2 linked regions of the Drosophila melanogaster genome follow. Each later gene encodes a partner of the first gene's protein in a complex. Each region holds a gene or a part of one and is shown in the gene's direction. Other genes may lie near its edges.

Evidence for each region.
Region 2: ver (region 1) and moi share a complex: the UniProt entries of both Drosophila melanogaster proteins name them as parts of the MTV complex.

Annotation. Positions count from the first base shown.
Region 1 is NT_037436.4:12,518,044-12,528,415, forward strand, and holds ver (verrocchio), read left to right. Parts: upstream 1-5,943; 5' UTR 5,944-6,027; intron 6,028-6,383; 5' UTR 6,384-6,397; coding exon 6,398-7,042; 3' UTR 7,043-7,107; downstream 7,108-10,372. Other genes in the region: tral (trailer hitch), read left to right, coding at 1-211, 395-624, 687-1,027, 1,101-1,108; Gcn5 acetyltransferase, read right to left, coding at 3,303-3,832, 3,895-4,547, 4,602-5,860; eIF2beta (eukaryotic translation initiation factor 2 subunit beta), read right to left, coding at 7,111-7,634, 7,943-8,342, 8,546-8,560; nst (nesthocker), read right to left, coding at 9,588-9,689, 9,759-10,372. UniProt on the Drosophila melanogaster protein: Part of the MTV complex that associates with the HipHop-HOAP complex to form the terminin telomere-capping complex involved in telomere maintenance and prevention of telomere fusion.
Region 2 is NT_033777.3:18,251,311-18,262,480, forward strand, and holds moi (modigliani), read left to right. Parts: upstream 1-4,219; 5' UTR 4,220-4,305; coding exon 4,306-4,502; intron 4,503-4,561; coding exon 4,562-4,901; coding exon of another isoform or gene 4,902-6,298; 3' UTR 6,299-6,367; downstream 6,368-11,170. Other genes in the region: CG18598 (uncharacterized protein), read left to right, coding at 34-168; CG12320 (uncharacterized protein), read right to left, coding at 250-1,389; Polr2D (RNA polymerase II subunit D), read right to left, coding at 1,728-1,902, 1,965-2,145, 4,007-4,070; Ada2a (transcriptional adaptor 2a), read right to left, coding at 2,244-3,006, 3,065-3,926, 4,007-4,070; Tgs1 (trimethylguanosine synthase 1), read left to right, coding at 4,898-6,298. UniProt on the Drosophila melanogaster protein: Part of the MTV complex that associates with the HipHop-HOAP complex to form the terminin telomere-capping complex involved in telomere maintenance and prevention of telomere fusion. Potentially functions downstream of mei-41/ATR.

The DNA of each region.
Region 1 (10,372 bases):
CAATAATCAGAACAAGCCGCGGAACAAGATCAAGTTCGAGGGCGACTTCGATTTCGAGCAGGCAAACAACAAGTTCGAGGAACTGCGCTCCCAACTGGCCAAGCTCAAGGTGGCCGAGGATGGTGCACCCAAGCCAGCCACCAATGCAACGGCCGCCACTGCAACTGCAACCAATGAGCAGGTGGGTGAGAAGGTTGAAGGCGTTCACACAGTAAGTCCACATACACTTTTTATTTTTATACACTACAAATTAGTTCTAAATGAATAAGAGCAGTTTATTAACAAATAAGGTAAATCTTCTTCTTTATTTATTGCTTGTTTAAGTTCAGTTTAAGTAACATTTTCTATACGATCGTTTTAAGAGTTACTCACTATTTGCATCATCTGCTTGCAGCTGAATGGCGAGACCGACAAGAAGGATGATTCTGGCAACGAGACCGGCGCTGGAGAGCACGAGCCTGAGGAGGATGATGTTGCTGTGTGCTACGACAAGACCAAATCGTTCTTCGACAACATCTCGTGCGAGGCTGCCCAGGATCGCAGCAAGAACAAGAAGAACGATTGGCGCCAGGAGCGCAAGTTGAACACGGAGACCTTCGGAGTGTCCTCCACACGACGTGGCAGGTAAGTCCAATCGAAGCAATCAAGCAAATGCAGTGTGGCTCATCAACTGAATGTATTCCAAGCAGTTACCGCGGACGCAACCAATACTACAACAATAATGGCAACGGCGGCATTAACTCGGGATATGGAGGAGCGCCAGGCTACAACAGGAACAATTATCGCATGGGTGGCGGCGGCGGAAACTTCCGAAACAGGAGCAACAATCGCAACAACGGCGGCGGTCGTGGCGGAAACGGAATGCCAAACATCACCAATGGCAACACGGCTGCTGCGCTGAAGGCGGCCAACAATGCTGCTGGCCACGGATCCAATGCCACGGACTCCAGTGCACCAAATGCCACAACCGCGACGACAAAGTCGACGTCCCTCTTGCCAGAGCAGACGCAACAGGTGGCGGCAGTTTGTGAGTAGCAATTACATCTAAGCACTTCATTTGCAACATGTTTGTTTACATGTGTGTCTGTTTACTTTTGCAGCACAATAGTGCCGCCCGGCCAGTGGAAAGCCACTTTAAATATACACCAACCACAACCAACAAACCACAAATTGATAGATGCGAATTGAGAAGAGCGTAAAGTAAATATCCTATTCATTGCAAAGCTAATTATTCGAAGCAAACCAATCAAGTGACCCGAACGATCGACGACACACAGGCTCTTATTATCAGGAATTTCGAGTTATGGATCCAGCGGCATAATATATTTGTATAATTAAATTAGTGTTACAATTCTCACGACGTCCTGGGGCGCACTCCGCTGCTGCCCGCCCACCACCACCGTGTGCTTGGCGATGATAAGCGCTCTACGATTCGATTAATGATTAGCGACTAGCGCGAATGTGAATGTGAATGTGAACCGAACCGAACCGAACCGAACCGGCCATGTGTTAGGCTTTGTGTAAATGGCTGGTTCCAACGCCTTGCGCTGAGCAAAAAGCACGGCATTGATAAGAAGGAGCAGATAATGGCACGCCAGCATACATACATATATTTAGTAAGAACATAGTTAAGCATAAGTATGAAAAGCTACAAAAAACAAAACAAAACGAAAGCAACCATTTAGCAAGGAGAGGAGCAAGGAGATTTGGCGGAGGAGCCGATAACAACAATAATGAAATTAATGGAGTAAACCAATTAAATCCATGGAATTCCCAAATCTAAAATAAAAGCTAACTTAATACGTTTTTATTTGAATGAAAGAGTAACAAATCGATTGTAATATTGTATTTCTTGTGGGCGTAAAACATCGACAAACGCTCGACCCGTTTTACTAGCATTTAAAACAACTATTATTTAAGAGCATTTTAAACATGAAAAAAAGAAAATAAAATCGGCAGCTACGCGCTTCTATCAAAAGCACAATTGTAAAAAGTCAATCCAGCTCAGCTGCAATGAATGAATGAAGTCTCCCGAATGAAAATGTTAAACGAAAAAACCCCAACAAAAAAAAAAAAAGAAAACAACCAATCATTAGCAAATTTGTCCAAAAAGAAAAGCCCAAATTTTCGGTTTTCGTACAGTTTATTTTCTCTGATCTCGGTTGGGCAAGGGAAATTATACTTACGATTCGAATCGATTTGAAAAGATACGATACCTATGGTGATGATGTTCTCAATGTAAATGTTAAGATTGATTGTGTGATTCACTGGCTGCTGCGCTTGAAATCGAGGCCTTCAAAAGCGAGTAAAGTACGCGTATCTCCAGCTGAATCCCTTTAGATATTTGTTTGTTATCCTTGTATCCAGATATATATTTGTATTCAGCACAAGCCCAGTCCAGTTTGGCCAGTTAACACGCTGGCAGAGAGAAGAGGGATGAGGATGAGGATGAGCTGGCGGAGTCACCACAAACATTTCAATATTATGTAATCATAAATTATGTATCTAATTGTATGTAATATGTATATCTCCATATATGCTCACTCTGATTAGCTCCACATATGTATGTTTGTATATAAATACGCAATTATCGAGTTGAACACTGAAAAGAAAGCACGTTTCGCAAGTAATGGCTAAATTGTAAAGACTACCACGTATGGAAATTAAAAACTAAATATACCATGTAATAAAGGATAATTGAATTCAAGCAGTAAGCAACTACGGTTAACATTTTCATTGTACCATCGGCATATCCACGATATCCTTTGCCATTTCCGGTGCAGCCTTGGAAAGGATGAAACGCAGATGTGGAGCCACGTATTTATGTATGCATGAGCCTTTGTACAATGTCCTAGAGATTCGATTAAACTCCCGCCCCTAAGATATAATTTTATAACTGAAATTATTTACTAAACCAAAATAAAAACAAATGAGAAGAACTCTAACTTTAAAAGCATGCGAAACAATGAATGTAGGAAATCAAAAGTGAAATAAAGAGTTAAGACAAAAACGTAGTGGTTACACATCATTTGACCAGCATTGGTTTTGTCCACTGGATGAAGGGAGAGTGGGTGGATTCGTGGTTAATGAGTAGGCGATAGATCTGATTTATTCTTCCCAAAGACACAACGCGTCTGTGAACAAGACGGACACACTGAGCTTAACCTAAGTATCTATAACGACAAACTAACTATATGGGTTTTTCTTTAGCTGGGGAGAATTCTAAAAATAAATAGAATTAATATAATAATTTAGTTCGATTAAATGTTCGGCCTTATGCAGGGCTCCTCGGAATCACTGCATCATTTGTCCCACAGCCCCAGCTCGCGCATCTTGGTCTGGAAGTAGCGCTCCAGGGAGTTGGCACACCGATAATACTCGGTGTCGGGCGAATTGTAGAACCGACAGTTGGAGAAAATGCGCGCCATGTCCGCCATGAACAGGCGGCGCGTTTGGTAGTAACCCTTCTTCAGGCGCTCGCCCATGGTCTTCAGGTCCATGGGATATTTAATGTGATCGTAGTAGTCCGGAACTTCGGCCGCGGTCACCGGGCGCAGGAAGGGCCAGGCGGTGGTGTGCTGGCGCACGGATTGCAGCACGGATGCAAAGGACGTGGCCAGCTTCTCCGGATCGGTGGATTCCTCGAGGGGTCGCGATGAGCGCGCCGGACGATTTTGCGGCTTCCAACCGATCTCCCGCAGACCAGGAATCGATTCCACGGGAATCACGGGCAGGCCCTCCTTGAAGCAAGTCAAGCCGGGTCTTACTTTCTGCACCTCGTTGTGGCGCTGTGCGATCAGCTCCTTCAGAATCTCGCTCTGACTGCGAATTACTGAAAGGAAGAATTGGAGTGTAAAATGGGACCATGGATTCCTTGTCCATTCTTTGACTAACCAGCTATGAACTGCGTGTTCACAATGCTTGGATGCAGCTCGCAGTGCATGAGAGTAGCACTATCGTACTCCTTGATGTAGCCCGCATAAACTGGTCGCGCCAATTTGATGTCCTTGGAGAAACCCTGCTTCTTGAAGTACCCGATGGCATCGCAATCGGCGAATGTGAGCAGATGCTTGATACCCCTCTGTATGCTGTAGTCCTTCAAGTGGTTCATCAAGTGCGTGCCATAGCCCTTAACTTGTTCCGACATGGTGACCGCGCAGAAAACGATCTCGGTGAAGCCTTGCGACGGAAACGGGCGGAAACAGATGCCGCCGATGGGTTGGTTTTCCTTGATGAGCGCCAGTGTTTTGTGCTTGGTGTCGAAAACCAACTGGCTGATGTACTCGCGCGGCATCTCGGGTAGCTGATAGGCAAATACGAGCTGCAGGCCCAGTAGCCACAAAACAGTCTGCTTGTCCACCGGTTTGGTCAGCGAATTGCCCACCACATGGAACTCAATGGCTCGCTTCTGCTCCTCCGCCTTGACGTTCTCATCCCGCGACACATTAACCGGAAAGAGAATTTCCGCTTTGTTGGTGGTCTTCGACTCGGACACCGATTTCATGGCGCGCATTACTACATCCGCAGGCAGGTCATCCAAATTCTCACTGCGGCAGGACGATTAGTAAATGTATTGAAAGAAGAAAAAACTGATTACCAACCTGCTTGGACGATCGGTGGGCTCCTTTTTGATTCGCTTGTGGAGCGGTTCACCCACACTGGTCCTCTTGTTTCCACCAATGCTTGCTGCACTGGGACCAATGGGTACATTTGCCACCTCCTGGTTACGCTTTCTCTGCTGGATGACAAAGGAATTTGACGGGCGGTAGCTGGTATCCCAGATGGGCGAATCATCCTTGAGCAATTCGGCGCGAAGCGTTTCCAAAAACTTCGGCATCAGCGTGATGATCGAACGCTTGTCCTCGGGAAAGCGATCCCGCTCGGAGATGCACTTCTTTTTCAGCTGCTGCGACATGCACTGGAAAACGGTGCGCAGGAGCGTTCGTCCAAACACTAGGGACGTTTCACATTGGCGCAGGGAGTTACAGAAGGCGGGCACGTGGCAGAACACCAACCACCTGGTGTAGTTGATTTTGTAGTTAGAGGCATCCTCGTGGGTGAGATCTCCTCTCCTGGTCGACGGCGATTCAAAGTTGTAGTGGTTCAGAAAGTTCAAGAACGTCTTGGCCACCTCGGTCATGGTTTGGAGTTCAGGCGTGCTCAGGTGATTGTACTTGTAGAAGACCAACGAGAGCACAGCCTTGGTGATGCACGGCGTCTCGAATGGTGGATCGCCGAGAGGACCCCGGATGACCGCCTGCTGGCGCGTGAGGACGCACTGGCGCAGCAAACGGAAGAGGTACTGGTACACCTTCTTGGTGTCCTCGTCCTCGACGCGCTGCATGGACATGAATAGGTTCTCCATGTCTATAATGGCGCCCAGTAGCTCGTTCATGCTGGAACTGGATATATTGTCCAGATGGGCTATGTGCGATCTCAGCGAATGGCGACAGCTGGTGTTGCGGCACTCCTCGTTGAACTCCGGACAGTAGGAGGACTCGACGTCACGGTGGCGATTTTCCTGCGGTGTCTTCCAGCCGGTGCAACGGCATCCCTCAGACTGGCAGGCGGAATACATCGACAATTTGGCCAGTTTCTGTGGCACGGGCAGATTGAAGACCTTTTGCTTTCGCTGCTGAATGCGCTGTAGGCTGTTCTGGCGCGTTCCCTCTGCCGGCACACTGCCAGCGCCGGACGCAGCTCCTCCGTGTCCTGGATTCTGGGCGCTGCCAGCGGCTCCAGATGCACCAGCGGTTGCTGCGCCATTCGCTGCCTGCTGCTGCTGTTGCGCCGCAGCGTTGCCCGTGTTGTTACCATCGATTGGTTGGCTTTTTATCGTTATGGATGGACCACCAGACATTCCAAGATCGGCAGATATTGCGATTCTCTTCGTTAGTTTTGAACAAAGTGTACTTTTCCTTAAATTTCACAAGCGATACAACGAGTTTGCCCACTTGCTGTGCGCAATGATGGTGCTGCCAACCTGGCGTTTTGTGCAAATGAATTTCTCTCGGTGGTGAAATAATGGTTGAATATATATATTCTATTAACGATTTTACGTTTGTCCATATAGTGTATACTCGTATTATCTGGTGACAATGTTTTTAGACTTTGAATTTAATAAGTAAAAATTAGCAGGGGCGTAGTCAAAACAACTGAAAATTTGTAAGGGGGTTAAAAAGAAAATATTGCGCGGTTCTGCAAATTAATGTGACCCTGGTTTTAACTTATAATACAATTGTGTGAAAATTGCTCACAAAATTAATTTTAATTAATATTATTTGTAAGAAAATACGAAGTCTACGCCCATGCTCACAACTGTTTTTTTTTTTGGCGCTAATGCAAAATGCACTGCAATAAAGAAATCCCCTTTGAAATCGCAGACTAAGCAAATAGAATGGATTTTAATCAGAGTTTCGAGGACATAGAAAGCCAGCTGGATAACTTCGTGATACGCAAGAATCAACAGAGTGAAAAGTCCACGGGCAAATGTGGTCCGGAGGTCCACGACAACGTGCCGCTGACCATATCCCAGATTGAGCGCGCAACTCAGGATCCGGAGAACGAGAATGTGTTCATCACAGACGACGTGCATCCGATTCACTTCTGCACCTGCATCATCTACGCCTTTGTAACTGGCAATGGAACGCACAACGAGTCGTTCATGAAGTTCATGATCGATGATGGCACCGGCTCCCTGGAGGCCAGCATCACCAAAAAACCCTTCAATGGACGCGTGATCAGCAGCCTGTACAGTGAAGCCAGTTCGCTGGCCTCGTCCGAGGCCTACAAGAGCATTGCCGTGAGCATGATGCGGCTGCTGCAGGTCTCCATGGAGTACATTGATCCCACGCGCATCTCGAGGGGCCACAGCCTATTCCTGCGCGGTCGTCCGAATAGGTTCCGCGGCAAGATGGGTCTGGACGCTTTTCAGTTCTTCATAGACAGCGGCCGATCGCGGAATATGGAAATTGGCTTCGTAGACTACCTAACCGACTGGCAACGAAGGCATAAAACAATGCAGAATACAACAAATAAATAGTATCGTTGGTTTTTTGTATTGAAATTTTACTGGTAATAAAAATTCAAAAAGTTTTAAATAAGGAGAATTTAGGTTGTTTTTGCTCGTATGGCGGCACGTTTGCCGGTGACAGCCTGGAAACCTGACTTAATGCTGGCCACCGAGCAGCGGGAGCCACAGGATTCGCACTGCAGGAAGAAGAGACGCGTGTCCTTCTGCAATATCGTTTCCGGGGAGCGGCAGGTGTGACAGGTGACGTACTCCTTGATGTAGCGACGCAGCACATTCTCGATCTGTTTGGGCTGGAAACGGCCCTTGATGATCAGCTGCTGGTTGCCGTCCATGGAGCCACTGGTACCCAACTCGGCCAGCAGGAAATCGAGCAGATGCTTGGGCAGGCGATGCAGCGTTTTCGCAATGTCCATGAAGTTGGCAAAGGAGGTCTTCTTGGTTCCCACGCGCAGCACCTGCGGCGGTCGCATCACGAACTTTGGCTTTCGGCCGGCGGCCATGTCCGGATTCTTGTCGAGAATGATTTCGAAGACCCGCTTCAGCAACTCGTCGTATGTGTAATCGCGGTCGGAGCCAAACCAGGTTGAGCTGTTGTCCTCGTCTGTAAACGGATGAAAACGTTATTTAAAAGGGTATGGTATAAGCTTATTTGCTAAGTGAGAGCTTTGAAATCTGGAGTCTATTTAAAGTTGGAACAGCTACATGCTAACTCACTGGCTAAGCATTTCTAGTTCACTTCATACACTGAGTTTTAATGCTTCGGAAAAGGCGAAAGCCAAGTTATACACTTTAAGAATCGTATAGCTTTGCCTTTGTCAAGTGACAACAAGCTTATATGGCTGCCAATCTTGGTTGGGATGATTCTATAACCCTAAGCTTCCCTGGCTGCTCTGCAATTCGTCACCGTACCGTTCTCTTTGTCTTCGCTCTTGTCGTCGTCCGCTTGGTCCGCAAACAGCTCGTCCAGTTCCTTCTTCTTGCTCTTCTTCTTCTTTTTGGCCATCGAGAAGTCCATGTCCAGATTGATCTCCTCCTCCTCGGGCTCCTCGCTGGCGGCCACATCATCGCCGCCAAAGCTGGGTATGGCCGCTTCGATTTCGTCCATGTTGAAGGGCTTCTTCTTCTTTTTCTTCTTCTTGCCGAAACTCTCCAGATCTAGATTATCCTCCTCGGCGGCGGCACCTCCTTCCGCCGATGCCTCATCCTGGGGATCCTCCTTCTTGGTGTCATCCTCCAGACCCAATGCCGCGTCCAGATCGAACGTGGTCTTCTTCTTCTTCTTCTTTTTCAGCAAAGTGGGATCAAAACCCTGCGAAAATCATTGGAATTTCAATATGGTTTAAATCCGGATCAAGCAAACATAACCTCAATGTTCGCCCAGTTCTCATACACAAATGTGTAAATACACACATACACATACGCAAACAAGGGCGCACATGTACGATAATATGCGAATTTTCCACGCAAGTTTTCCGCGTATGAAACGCACTAGCCGGTGTTCCGGGAACTTACGTCTTCCGCGTCCATTGTGTCTGGGCTGTTTGAATACTAGTTGACTGGAAACTAATTTTGTTTTAACTAAAAAAACTGCAATTGCATCAGCCAAAGTGACAGCACGGCAATCAGACGGTGTGACCGGCTGAGTTTTAGACGAGTAAACCATCCGGCATGCGAAAATATACTTTTAATACCATTTGCATAGATATACCGAGTATTAATAATATTCAAGTAAAACTTTTTTATAAACAATTGCTAAATTAGTTAGCTAAATTAGATAACTTTCGAACTACGAACAGTTAACATTCAATAACTCAACTCGACTTTTGAACGTATGCTTTAATTAACACAAGTATAACAGTTTTGAAGTATTTGCTTACATTGTAACAGTTAACAGTAGTCCTTATCAATTACTGTCCTACATGTCTCCGCTACTGACCGCCAGATGGCGCGTTTCAATTCTGCCAGCTCCATTAACATTTATTAAAATGTTAAGTTTAAAAATAAAAGTTGGCAAAATTTTAATTTATTTGCCGGGACAGTGATTTAAATTTGCCATAAATTGTGCGTACAGCATAGTAAATTCCAAATGAAGTGAAAACTGATTTATATTCGACCTAAAGTAAAAGGATCTTTAGATTGTTTAAAAAATACTTTTATAGAAAATAGCAATACAAACTTGATTAGGTTCATTAATCTCTACTATCAATTCTTTTATAATTTCAATAGTTACCGCTAGCAGCTCAACAAAAAAATCAACGTAGCGGTTGCATTTTCATTAAATTCTTCAATTACAAAATAGCGAAGGACATAAAATTGCAACTTTCACAATGTACATATGTATAAATAAACTTGAAAAGAACTTTATAAATAATGGCAAAAAATATGTCATCTTTAGAACACAAAAGACAGTGAACATTTGCAGAATAAATGCGTTTGAGAGTTAAGTTGTTTTTTTTTTAAGTTATTGAGCACCTTAGAGTAAAGAGATTTATTGCTCCATCCAGGATCTGTGTCAATTGTCGATTCCCGTGAGAGGTTAGTTCGTCATTCCGCTCTACAGGTGGGCACTGCTGTTGGGCTTCGTCAATGGGGGGCCAACTCCGCCGGCCAGTTTCTGGACCAGCAGACCCACTTCGTAGGCAAGATTATCGGTGTCCTGTCGTAAAAAAAAGATAGTAAGTAGAGTGTTTTGATCTAGTGCTAAGAGTTAACTTATAAGCCTTACCTCTTTGGTGGCTGCTTCGGCATAGACGCGCACCACATCCTCGGTGCCCGAGGGGCGAACGAAGGAGCGTCCCCGCTTGTATTTCGCCACCACCTGGTTGATTTCCGTCTGCAGACCTTCGGGCTTTACGCACACGCGTTCCGCATCCGTCGTCTCGATGACATTGCGATCCTGCACCTTCACCTTTAGCTGTCGGTTGGGCAGATCGTTGTACGACGAGATCCAATCCTGGACATCCCAGCCCTTGTGATTTAGGATTGTTTCCACCAGCAGCATGTCGGATATGGCATCGCCCACGGTCTCGTTGATAAGATCGATGAGCAGCAGCAACGTCTTGGCACTCTCCTTAGTTTGGGCCACCTGGGCAATCGTCGCCTTAGCATTGTCACTGAACACAATCGTTCCGTGGCCATTCGCCTCGAAGTAAACACCAATGTCGTACTCCAAGGCCTTGTGGTGCAGGTGCTTCACGCCCGTGGGTACGCACGAAACGGGAAACTTCAGCTGGTCCACTATGTAGTCCGTGGATGCACCATTGGCGTAGGCAGTTTGCACCAGGCCCAGCCGTAGGCTAATCTCGGATTGTGTGACCAGTTCCATGAGATAGCCGGCGA
Region 2 (11,170 bases), on another chromosome or scaffold:
AGAAAACCCATGTCCATGCCATACTCCTTGCAGTCCCTGCTAAAGGACAAGCGGGCCAAGTTCTTGATTCTCTGCCTGATCGAGACCAAGTTGTGCCAATTCATGGTCAGCATCCGCACGGCTCGGGATCTGTGGAATTACTTGCGCACCCAGCATTCGCTGCGTTAAAGTAGAAATCAATATAGATCAGTTTCAGTCCATTGTATTACAAATATATGAATTACACTTCACATGCGTAGCGCCCTTCTCCTAGGCTTCCGGAAGTTCGATGACTACAGGCTGGTCCTCGGGATCCTCGTCTAGCAGGCCCTCGAATTCCCATCCCAATTTTTTCTCCAGCCGCTTAGTTAGCCGCTCAGCGCTGACACTTAAGCCGCCCGCATGCAGATTGACCAGCAGTTCGCGTACATCTTTGTAGACGGTGTTATGCGGACCAGGCACCATCAGCTCCTCGGGCAGATGGGGCAGCTGGTGGGCCAAAACCTCGCTGTATTTCATGTACGTTAACTTGTGCTTGGTGACCGCCGTTTGCGAGTGAGCCAGCAAGCCCAAAAGCTTGCGCCAGTGGGCCAGAGACTCCACAGAGTAGCCCACTAGGAAAAATGCGTAAGCCAGCTGCAGTTCCTCAATGAGTCCATCGGCCGTTTCAAAGCCTTCGAGCAGTTTGTCAACAGCATCGATGCAGTCCAAGGCATGGCGGGAAACATCAGCGGGCAGGGCATCTTGTGGAACACGCAGGGGTACGGTAGTGAAGCGCGGAGCTGTTCCTTCCACGGGCTTAAGGTCCGGTAGGAGTTCGCTCTCATCTAAGAGAATCCGAGCTGCAGCATTCCGGCGGCTTATGCTGACAGTAGCGGCTCCACCTCGCGGCCGATCTGCGTCCGGGCAGGATTGCAGTTCGATGTTCGTACGGATGGTTCCTTCTGTCGGACGGCAGCGATCCACGCAAGACTCCGTCACGCTGCCGGTGAGTTCCTTCCACTGGACCACGTAACGATAGTCGTACGGCGCCAGCACGCGCTCCAGTTGGGCTAGGTTTTTGCGTATTCGGTCTCGCTCCACTTCCGGTTCGGCAATCCTCCGCGGGCGCAATTCCTCCAGTTCGTGGTCCCACTCTCGTACGACAATCTCATTCGGATGGAAGAAGTGCACGAATCCAACACGAGGGGCTGCATCGCCGTAGGGACCACGGGAGGAGCACCATACGTAGTGGACTCCGGGTGGAATCATCTTGACGCCTCGGAAATCCGGACCAATGGTGTAGGCACAAAGATCAATGCCGAATTCCGTGCCCTCGGGTACACCGGCGATGACCAGCACTCCGCCATCAGCCAGGAGGCGTAGGGCTAGCTGCGGATCCATTTTCATGCTGGAGTTGTCCTTGTTCATTGTGAAATATTGTTCGCTTGCAATTATTAGGAAAAAGAAAACAATTGCAAGTGCGGGCCTTTCAGCAAGTTGCCAGATGTGACGGCTATTTCGATAAGTTCTTTCATGTGAGCAGTCTGGCAACACTAGACAAACAATTCTTTCAAGCGGCAAATTCAATTTATATATACTTTTTTTTAAGTAAATCTTTTGTTTGATATAATTACATTGTATTTAGACTTTGTTGATTTTTGTTACAGTGTATATTCTGCATTTACTTAAAATTCTTGCTGTTCTTCACTTTATTGTGTAAGTGGACCATGACTTTATATCTAAACTATATTTATACGTAGTAGTAATTAGTATTGTAAGCTGCGTTTAGTGCCGATATCGTCGAGTATTTGGCGCAGCTCCTCATCCTCGAAGCGACCCTCTAGTGAAGGAATCAGCGCCTTGGCCTCCTCGGGCGCCTCCGGACACAAATTACCCAGTGCCGCCAGTTCGAATTTGTGCAGCTTTTTCTGCATCAGCAAGCTGAATTTGAAATAATTGAATATTACTACTCGTACGTGCTTTGTTCGGTTTTGCTACATTACCTTCGCGCAGACATTATGGTCTCCTTGTTTTTGAACTTTCGAAAACTATCCGTGTAGGCGTACGTCTTCATGAAGACCTCGGAGAACTCTTGCTCCTCGTCGGCGGATTCGTTTTGTCGCTTTCGGTGATCGAGAAGCATGTGCACCTCCGATATCAGCAGCGTCTCGGCATTTTCGAACTCTGAAACAAAGAGAAACGAAAGGGTTTTTTTTTCTTGAATTAGTTACTTGACGACATTCAGGAAATTTACAAGTGAAACATTGGAGAAAAAATTAGCCCTAGCCATAGGACGGTGGTCTGCTGATATGGCCATGTTCCAGCAGAAAATCGTAGATCTGACGCGTTTTGTTCACGTCAATTTTGATGAGACGTCGCGCATCGGCCAGTCGTAGATATCCGAGCTTTGCTTGCTCCGTAACGAGTTGATTCTTGTAGTCCAAATACGACTGCGGAACCAGACGAGCCACACTGCACAACTTTCGCTCGCCATCATCCAGTTTGGAGTAACCAGGCAGATCTGGGATCAAAGAAAAATTATATTCAGTTGGTGTCAGGCAATGAGTAAAGTGTTTCCCACCTCCAATCTCAATGGGACTGGCCTTTCGACGCGTGTTCATCACATATAACTTTGAGTTAATGGCCAGGGGACCAGGATCACCGCTCCTGTTGCTCTCGTAATGCTGCACCAATTGCTGCCAGTCGAAAGCATCTGTTTGCTTCAGCCTGCTGTAATCTCGCTGAGCCTGCTGACGTTCTTTGCTCAAGCGGGCATATAATTTGGCTCCGGAAAGAGTTCGAACGCCGTGCTCCCGCAGATCGTATAGCTTGTGCAGCTGGCTATGCAGCTCCCGATAATAACGCAGAGACTCCAACAGCATATCGAACTTAATGGGGTCAGGACAGATCTGCATGAAGCCCAAGAAACGCATGCAACTCGCATCGCTGCCAAAGGCGTGCACGTACTTGGAAATCCAGCTGACGGTGCGATTGGGCATTATGAGACCGTGTTGCCTCATTATCTTGTAACGACGCTGGCGCTCTCTGTGAGTAAATATGCATATTAGATTTTTTTTAGTAGCTTTCTGTTATAAGATCATACCTGAGGCGATTGTTGTATGCCCGAACTAGTCCGAGTTGCAATTCCTCTGTCACTTCGCGCTCAAACTCACTCTCAGACGCCTCGTTGTCGTCATCCCTGCCCCTATGATCCACCATAATAGATAGCAGACTCTCTGCTGAGGTGTCGTACGGAGTATCGAAGTCTCCTCTTGCACAGCGGTAACCTGCGCTTAGTCTGAACTGCATGGAGGCGATGTCGTCATGACGTGGTGGATCCAAGCTGCGCATTTTGAAGACATACGGCATTCGCTCGGGCACATAGCTGTCCCTCGCATGCTTCAGATTAAGGAGCCGCTCGAATATCCCGCCAAAGTAGCAATCGTGGTAGTGACGACGCACTTCTGCGGGTTCGTGGCGCTGGTCCAGAGCCTGGGAGACCGCCTCCCAGTTGCCATAGCCGTGGGTGCGAAGTGTTTTCAGCAGTATGCGCTCGTCCCGTGCCGTCCAGTGTGGCTCATCGGCGAAAACCTGTATGTTGTCGCGGACTATGATGTAAGCGTGGTTATTGCGGTGAGAAAAGGCCTCCTTTCCACGTGAGAAACATTGCAGGCAGAGCAGGGTGTCGAGGCACTCGGAGCACTTAATGTACGGCTCTGTGAGACTGCAGCGACATGTGGCACACCGATTGGCATCCTTTGTAGCCGATGGAACACTGCTATTCTGGTCCCGCGTCTTTTCCTCCATCTCCTCCAAGTACCTGTGCAACGTGTGCGGATTATACAAAACCATGGAGTTCCTGGTGTGTTCATTCTGATGTGCATGGATGAACCGCTTAACCTGTGGCCCCAGTGGCTCAACTGCAAAGAGGCAATTCAGTGTGGTAAAAATGTGGAGGAGTGCCACTTTTGGGGCACTCGAAGCCAAAGGTTTCAGCCAGTTTCACTTGTAAGTTGCATTTCGGTTGGTGTAGGGCGTTGGTTACCTTTGGGAAACTGCAGGTCGGCGGCGTCCTCATCCACCATATCCACGGGGTTCATAAAAGACATAGTGAGCTAAGAACTGCTCAGTTTGTTAAAGTTTATATTAAGAAATTCTAATTTGCACAATAAAATGTCGCTGTTTTTAGTGATGAGAAAGGCAGGGCTATAACTGGCGAAGAAGCTATCGATAGGTGGGTCGCATCGTGCGTAGATACGTTGGTCACACTAGCAAGCATGTTGAGTTTATCATTCCGGGTGTTTTGATTTTGTTCGGAATTCTTGGTTTTTTTCCAAGAGAGTTATGTCCCTGGTGCCAGAAGCCTCTACCTCGAGAGCGCCCAAGTACTGCTACTTCTTCAAGACCCTGCTGGTGGAGGAACTGGAGCTGGAAACTTCCTACCACAACCTGCACTACGGTCAGTGCGCATTAATTGGACGTCTGGCGTTCAAGGCGAATCAGTACCGCCTAGAAAACGTGCGCGTTAAGTGTTTGCCAAAGTAAGTTTTTCTATATTACCTATCCATCCGGTCCTTACCAATGATGCTGCATCTTTCAGGAAGTACTCCTTGGGCGAGGGCACCGTATCCTTGCTTATTCTTGGCCTTACCCATGACAAAGTCGTCGAAAATCGCGTGAGTACCGGCCGCTACTGCATTGTGCGTGGTGAAGTGGTGCTACATAATGTGCAGCATCCCAAAGGTGCCAAACTGACCGCCGGCGGTGTCTACGACAAGATCAATAGTCTGTCCAACGATCCGTTGGCCCAAAAACAGTATCTCAGCGCGCTACTTGCCACCTACAGACCGGCCATCGACTTATGGTACATCCAGGTCATCGACAGAGCCGAGGACTTGCTGACTCGCAGGCTGGAGATGAGAAGTCTGATCGAGAAATGAACACACACCACCTGACCACCTCGCGAACCAATCCGCAGTTCTATATATTCAGTCAGCTCTTTGGTAACGATTTCGACTGGAATAATTGCAATTGGGGGGGCATTCAAAACGTTACCTGGAAAGAATTCTGGCAGCGTGAGGGGCATGAGCTGCTCGAGCAAAAGTGGCACAAGCGGTTTCCCGAATACAAAGATCTTATCGAGGTGGTTTCGTCGGAGGAGCAAGGCCTTTGGCAGGAACTGTGGGAGAAGCACGCCAGCGATTACAGTGAAAAGTTCTGGTATATATTTAGCTGTGCCTTTGAGAACTACCAACACGATTTGGCCAAATCATTTGGCCTTGACGTCGCTGAAAACTCAGAAGATGTTGAGGAGGACTTGCAGAACCTAAGCCTTACAAATAAGCCAATAAAATCGAAACAGCAAAGGGTCACAGAGAAAGAGGAGGACGAATCATACTTGACTGCCAACGACGATCCCGAGGATTGTGACGAGGAACAACAGCTGCGCCTTCTCGGATTGCCAACATCATTTGCGTCGAAGGCAGATATAATTAATTATAGAAAGGAAAGAAAGACACAGTACGAACTATCTAGCAGCGATAGCGAGGACGATCATGATCTGTTGACCATGGAGAACAACGAAAACGAGGCTCTGCACGGCGTTCAGAGCGGTTCTGTTAAAAAGAAAAAACGACGGCAAAGGCAAATAAAAAAACTCAAGGCCAGGATGCCAGAGTGCATGCAAGAGGATAACAACAAAATGGTCAAGTACTGGGTCAAGCGATTCTCGCTGTTCTCCCGCTTCGATCAGGGCATTCGGCTGGACCGCGAGAGCTGGTTCTCGGTGACACCCGAGAAGATTGCCAAACAAACGGCCCGACGACTGGCCTGCGACGTGATCGTAGATGCTTTCTGTGGATGCGGCGGCAATGCCATTCAGTTTGCAAACACCTGTGGACGCGTAATTGCTGTGGACATCGATGCCGAGAAGTTGGCCATGGCCAAGCATAATGCCGGCATTTATGGTGTGGCCCATAAGATCGAGTTTATCCACGCCGATTTTCTGCAGTTTGCGGCCAGCACAAAGCTGCGCCCAAATGTGGTTTTCCTGAGCCCTCCGTGGGGTGGTCCTGACTACCAAAAGCAGGCCACCTTTGATATCGAAACAGGTCTCCTGCCCGTGGGTGCTAGCCAACTGATGCAGCTGTCCCGTAGCCTGGCATCTGACGTAGCTTTCTTTCTGCCACGCAACGCCAATATGAAGCAGGTGGTCGCTCTAAGTGGAGTTGGGCAGCAGTGCGAGGTGGAGCACAACTATCTGGACACCCGAATGGTTGCGCTCACTGCTTATTATGGTAAAGGAATCATAAAGGGTTCAGTGGGAGAAGATGAGTAGGATTCGATTGAGAGTAATTTTAATAACATCATTGTTTTTATATAAATAAATATATTTAATTTCATACATATGTATAGTTGAATGGATTTAAAAAAAAAAACGGGCTCATAATTTCATGGCATTTTTTGCTTATTATTAGATATAAATCATATTCAAAACGAGCCAATAACATAATATGAAAATAAATCTATGAAAGGCATTTTAACTAATATGTAATACAAATGATTTGGTAAGTATCTTTAATTAAACTCGAAGCATATAAGCACACAGAGTTCACAAATTCCTGTAATTATGGATCAAAGGAAAATGTTGGCTATGGTCAACAACTTTTTTGTTCATTGTTTATCGCCTTAAGTTTTTCCCTCTTTTTGCCACATAGAAAGATAGGAGAAAAGTTGACTAATGAATAAAGCCGCCTCACATGTAACGCAAGAGTAAAATCTTTTCACCCATCCCTTCAGTGCAGTGATTGTTGCCAAGTGACCGGCGATGCCAAAGAGTCCAAGCTCTTTAGCCAATTTAGATGGCTTAACAAAGCTCAACTGGCCAATGGTCAATGGTCATAACCATAACGTTCCGCAATCCCTTCTTGCAACTGGCATTGGACTTTTAATTAAAACGCAAAAGGAAACAAAGCGTGCGTCAATTTTTAAGAACTTTGTGCCACAAGTTGTGACTTGGCCCAAAAGCCATGGAACACAGGCAGCCAGCCGCATCCTGCTGAACCTGGCAACGTCGGTTCGGGGGCAATTAACATGCTCGTCTCGCGGCGCAGGCAGCAGTTCCTTCGGCATTCCACAGCAGACGGCAGACGATGAGCCGGAACCAGAAGCAACAACCCTTTTCATGGCTTACAGCTTACTTAGCTCTTTCGGATGGGGTGCGTTCGCTTGAAGGGGCTTGTGGTGTGGCCAGTGGGCGGTGGGCGGGGCATGTGCGGAATTTATAGCTGCCAACTGGCAACAGAGATATTTACCCCTTCCTCCATTATCCCCCAACCCCGCGCCCCAACCAGTTGCGGCAAGTGGCTGCTCCTTTCCACTGCAATTAGTTTGATTAACTTATTAGTGTGCGTCGGAGCAGCTCGAGCGAAATTTGGAGCATTCTTTCCGGCGCTGATTTGTGGGCTGCCTTGCGAACGACGGATTTTAGTGGGAAGTTGGTTGGAAAATGGCAATATTTTGACAAGAGTAAGGCGAATATTCTGAATATTATAGTTTTTAATTGTATACAAAGTTAAATTTAAGTTAAATGTAAAGTTTAATGTTGTGGGCTTTAATAGATTTACATATGATACGTAAAATTTGGCGTATGAGTTCAGGCCAGAACTTATAGTTGATATCAGTGATATAGTTGTACATAGTATATAGTATATAGTTGTAGTATAAATATATAGAGTTGATATAGTTAATGATATCAGAAATGATGTTAAAAAAGTTTTTGTTTAGATACGTTAAAAAATAAATATAAACCAATTTGCTCTATAAGACATTTTACTAAAAGTAATGAGCATCCTTTTATGCCTTTCCTAATACATATATATTTCAGAAAGAATTATGCAACTATTTGTTACCTTTTTATACCCGTTACACGTAGAGTAAAATGGTATACTATATTCGTTGAAAACTATGTAACAGGCAGAAGGAAGCGTTTCCGACTCCGTAAAGTTGATATATTCTAGATCAGGATCATTAGCCCAGTGGATATGGCCAAATCCGTATGTCTTTCCGGCTGTCCATATGAACGCCGAGCTCTTGGAATCTATAAAAGCAAGAAAATTAAGATTGAGTAGGAGAAGATGGCCACGCCCATTAAACCACGCTAGATGCGGGGCTTCGAAAAGAGTTTCGTCTTTTTGGTCGATCTCCCTCAAACTGCCACTTGCTGAGTTTATGGTATAATAATATAATAATGACATAATGACAAAAAAAAGGAATAATAAAAAAGGAATACGTTGCCATAAGTACTATAATACACCATTTCTAATGCAAATTGCAAAGTAAGCTCGTTGCCGGTGATTAAAACTGACTTTTATTGTTCGGATTGTTATTAAAATACCGTGCAATTGGCCGTCACGCGTCAACTTTGTCATTATCAGCTACTTAAATCTAAGCCCCCTTCCGGATCCGGTTTATCCACTTTGGTTTTTAAGTCAGTAGCGCTGTTATCCTTTATTAGATACATGTAATTGCCGCTTTAATGCGGGGTTGACAATGCCAACAATTTCAATAACCTGACTGGGCGGCCTATAAAACGACTGGCATCTCGCTGAAAATATATAGAAATATATTTTATTGGAAAGCAAGCACGTGTTCACAGCTCATCTCGTCGAGCGACAAGTGGCTGCGTCCTTCGTTTGGGCAAAAAACAAATTAAGTCACCCTTTTAATACGCTATTTAATTTCCAGCGTAATGTTGTCATCCTTCTTGACAAATGGTCACCCAAAACAACGAGGTCCTTCCACCCCCCGACCGGCTGGCTGGCTAACTGGCTGTTTGATCTGTAATTTGCGCCACTTGATGATGGCCTTAGCCGGGGAATCCCGGCTCCGACTCCCATCCGCCATCCATCCGAGAGTTACTAAGCGGCGGGGTGGTTTATTTGTGCCGCAAGTTGCGACAATGCCGCAATGCGATTACAGCGTGCAGTCCCTGGGAACTGTGCAAAATGCGATTGTTCTTCTCCGGCTGCAGGTGCAGCTGCTTCATGGGCGCATCTAATTAAGCGGGTTGGGGGTTGTAAACACTCAGTAATTGCCAACTGATTTATGGCCTAATCGTGGACCAGCTCTTGGCAAATATTGATTCAAAGTTGAATTTTGGCTTTGAGGTCGGATTTTCAAGGACACCCTTTAATATAAGGAATATTCCTTACCTTACTACAATACTAATTTACTATTATATTCAACTGAAATGGTATTGCAATCCGAGAATGGTTCGATCTCGATCTGAGTACGATGCTATCCTGGCTGGATTTTAAGATCGAGATTGTTGAGAATGGCTTCTTCTTTCAATTTGTTAAATTTTATTTTAGCTTATATAATAAAGTGTTCTAATAAGTAATAAAATTAGGTATGATTTGTGTTTATTATAATTGATTATTGTAAGATTTTTAATTCTCTATTCTAAAACTGCTACGAGTTAAACAACACCGATATTTTATAAGCTTATTCACATAGATTTACAATTTCCTTATGTAAATACTCCTTTTTACCATAGAAACGTAATTATTTTATATATTTGAACCGGGTTTTTCTCGTTCACTTCCCGTCGAGACTTTAGCAAAATGGCCGAAACCCACTTATTGATTAACCGTTATTCATTTGGTGGCAGCCATTAAAATTAATAAAACGCTGCAAGGGCGGCGACAACAACAAAGGGCATCGCAACAACCACAAGACCAGAAGCAATTATATACACCAGCATCATAAAGATGAAGAAAAAGTGCGAGGGGCGGGTGGAAAGTGGGAGGGGCAGGCCGAACAGTTATCCGCCCACTTGCCATTGATGGGCAATAAAAAAAGTCAAGTAGAGAGCAGAACAAGAGCAATAATATTTAATAAATGCGCACAGGGCCGAGCAAAATTTATATGTACTTACATATGTATATGTATATGGTATTCTGCTCCTTGTTGTTGGTGGTTGAATGCGAAAAAAACCATAAATAAATAAGCGAGCTTTCGCACACAAGTACATGTAAGACTACAACGTGTGCTCCGACTTCCACACTTGAAGAAATAATGGGTGTAGTCAATTGAATAGACTAAAAGCAAAATTTAAAAAAAAATTAATATATTTTTAAAATATTTTTGCCTCAAGAAACAAGCTTTTTTTAAATCAATTATTAAAAATGAAAGCGTAAGCATAACTTGCAACTTATTTGTAACTTATTTCTTCCAATTTTTAAATGCAAATATTTTTTTTATAGTGTTTTGACCATCTTACTCTCCCTCTCTCTTTCTGTGTCCCGTTCGAATAGGTAGGCTGGCTCTGGGTAGGTGCAAGCGAGTGTGGGTGAGTGTGTGTGTGTGTGTGCCATGCATTTTTGGTTGAATGCTTGAGAGCAACAGAGGCAGCAGCAGCAACAACAACGACAACATCGCAGTGAGAGCGACGCTCACTTACAGGAAATCCACCACCCCTCCCAGCCACTACCCCTCCCTCCATGCCACGCAACATCATTCTTCATGGCATTTCGGTGAAAAAGAATGCTTTTGATCTTCACAAGCGAATGATTTTTAATATGACTTTTTCTGCTGTTGCTTCCGGCAGAGGGTGGTTTTACCGGGGGCTTGCGGGGCATTTGGGCGGCGGAAAATATGTTTAAGCGCTGGAAAATGGGAAAGTAAAGTGCGCCGGCAGTCAATCAAAAGCGCCAGCATATTTATTATTCGCTTTTTACTGTTTGCGTACATACTCGCATAATGACCGTGATAATTAATTAGCTTAATTAAATACCAATGCAGTCACACACACACACACACACACTCTAGCTTGGTCAACCGCAGCGCCTAAAATTAGGCAACGTTTGAGTTTGGCAAAGTCAAACCGAAGAAAGGAGGAGAAAGGGGCATTCGCATAATGATGGTAATTTGTTGGTTTCGGCAAAAGAGCAAACGGCATCCTTGGAATTTCAATTAATTTCCATAATTTCCAACGCTTTATGAGCGAGCCAGCGATTCCCCAAATACGCCAGCGGAACAGAAAGGGACGGCGATTGTGATGAGCGAGCGCGAGTTTTCCCCCACGATGGGGATGATTTTTCCTTCGCTGGAGTTTGTCCTTTGTGTGAAGTCGGTTTTCCCGGCTATTCAGTTACTGCCAAGAAGGTGGATCTGCGAACGGATCAGAATCAGACCAAAAGTTCTAAAT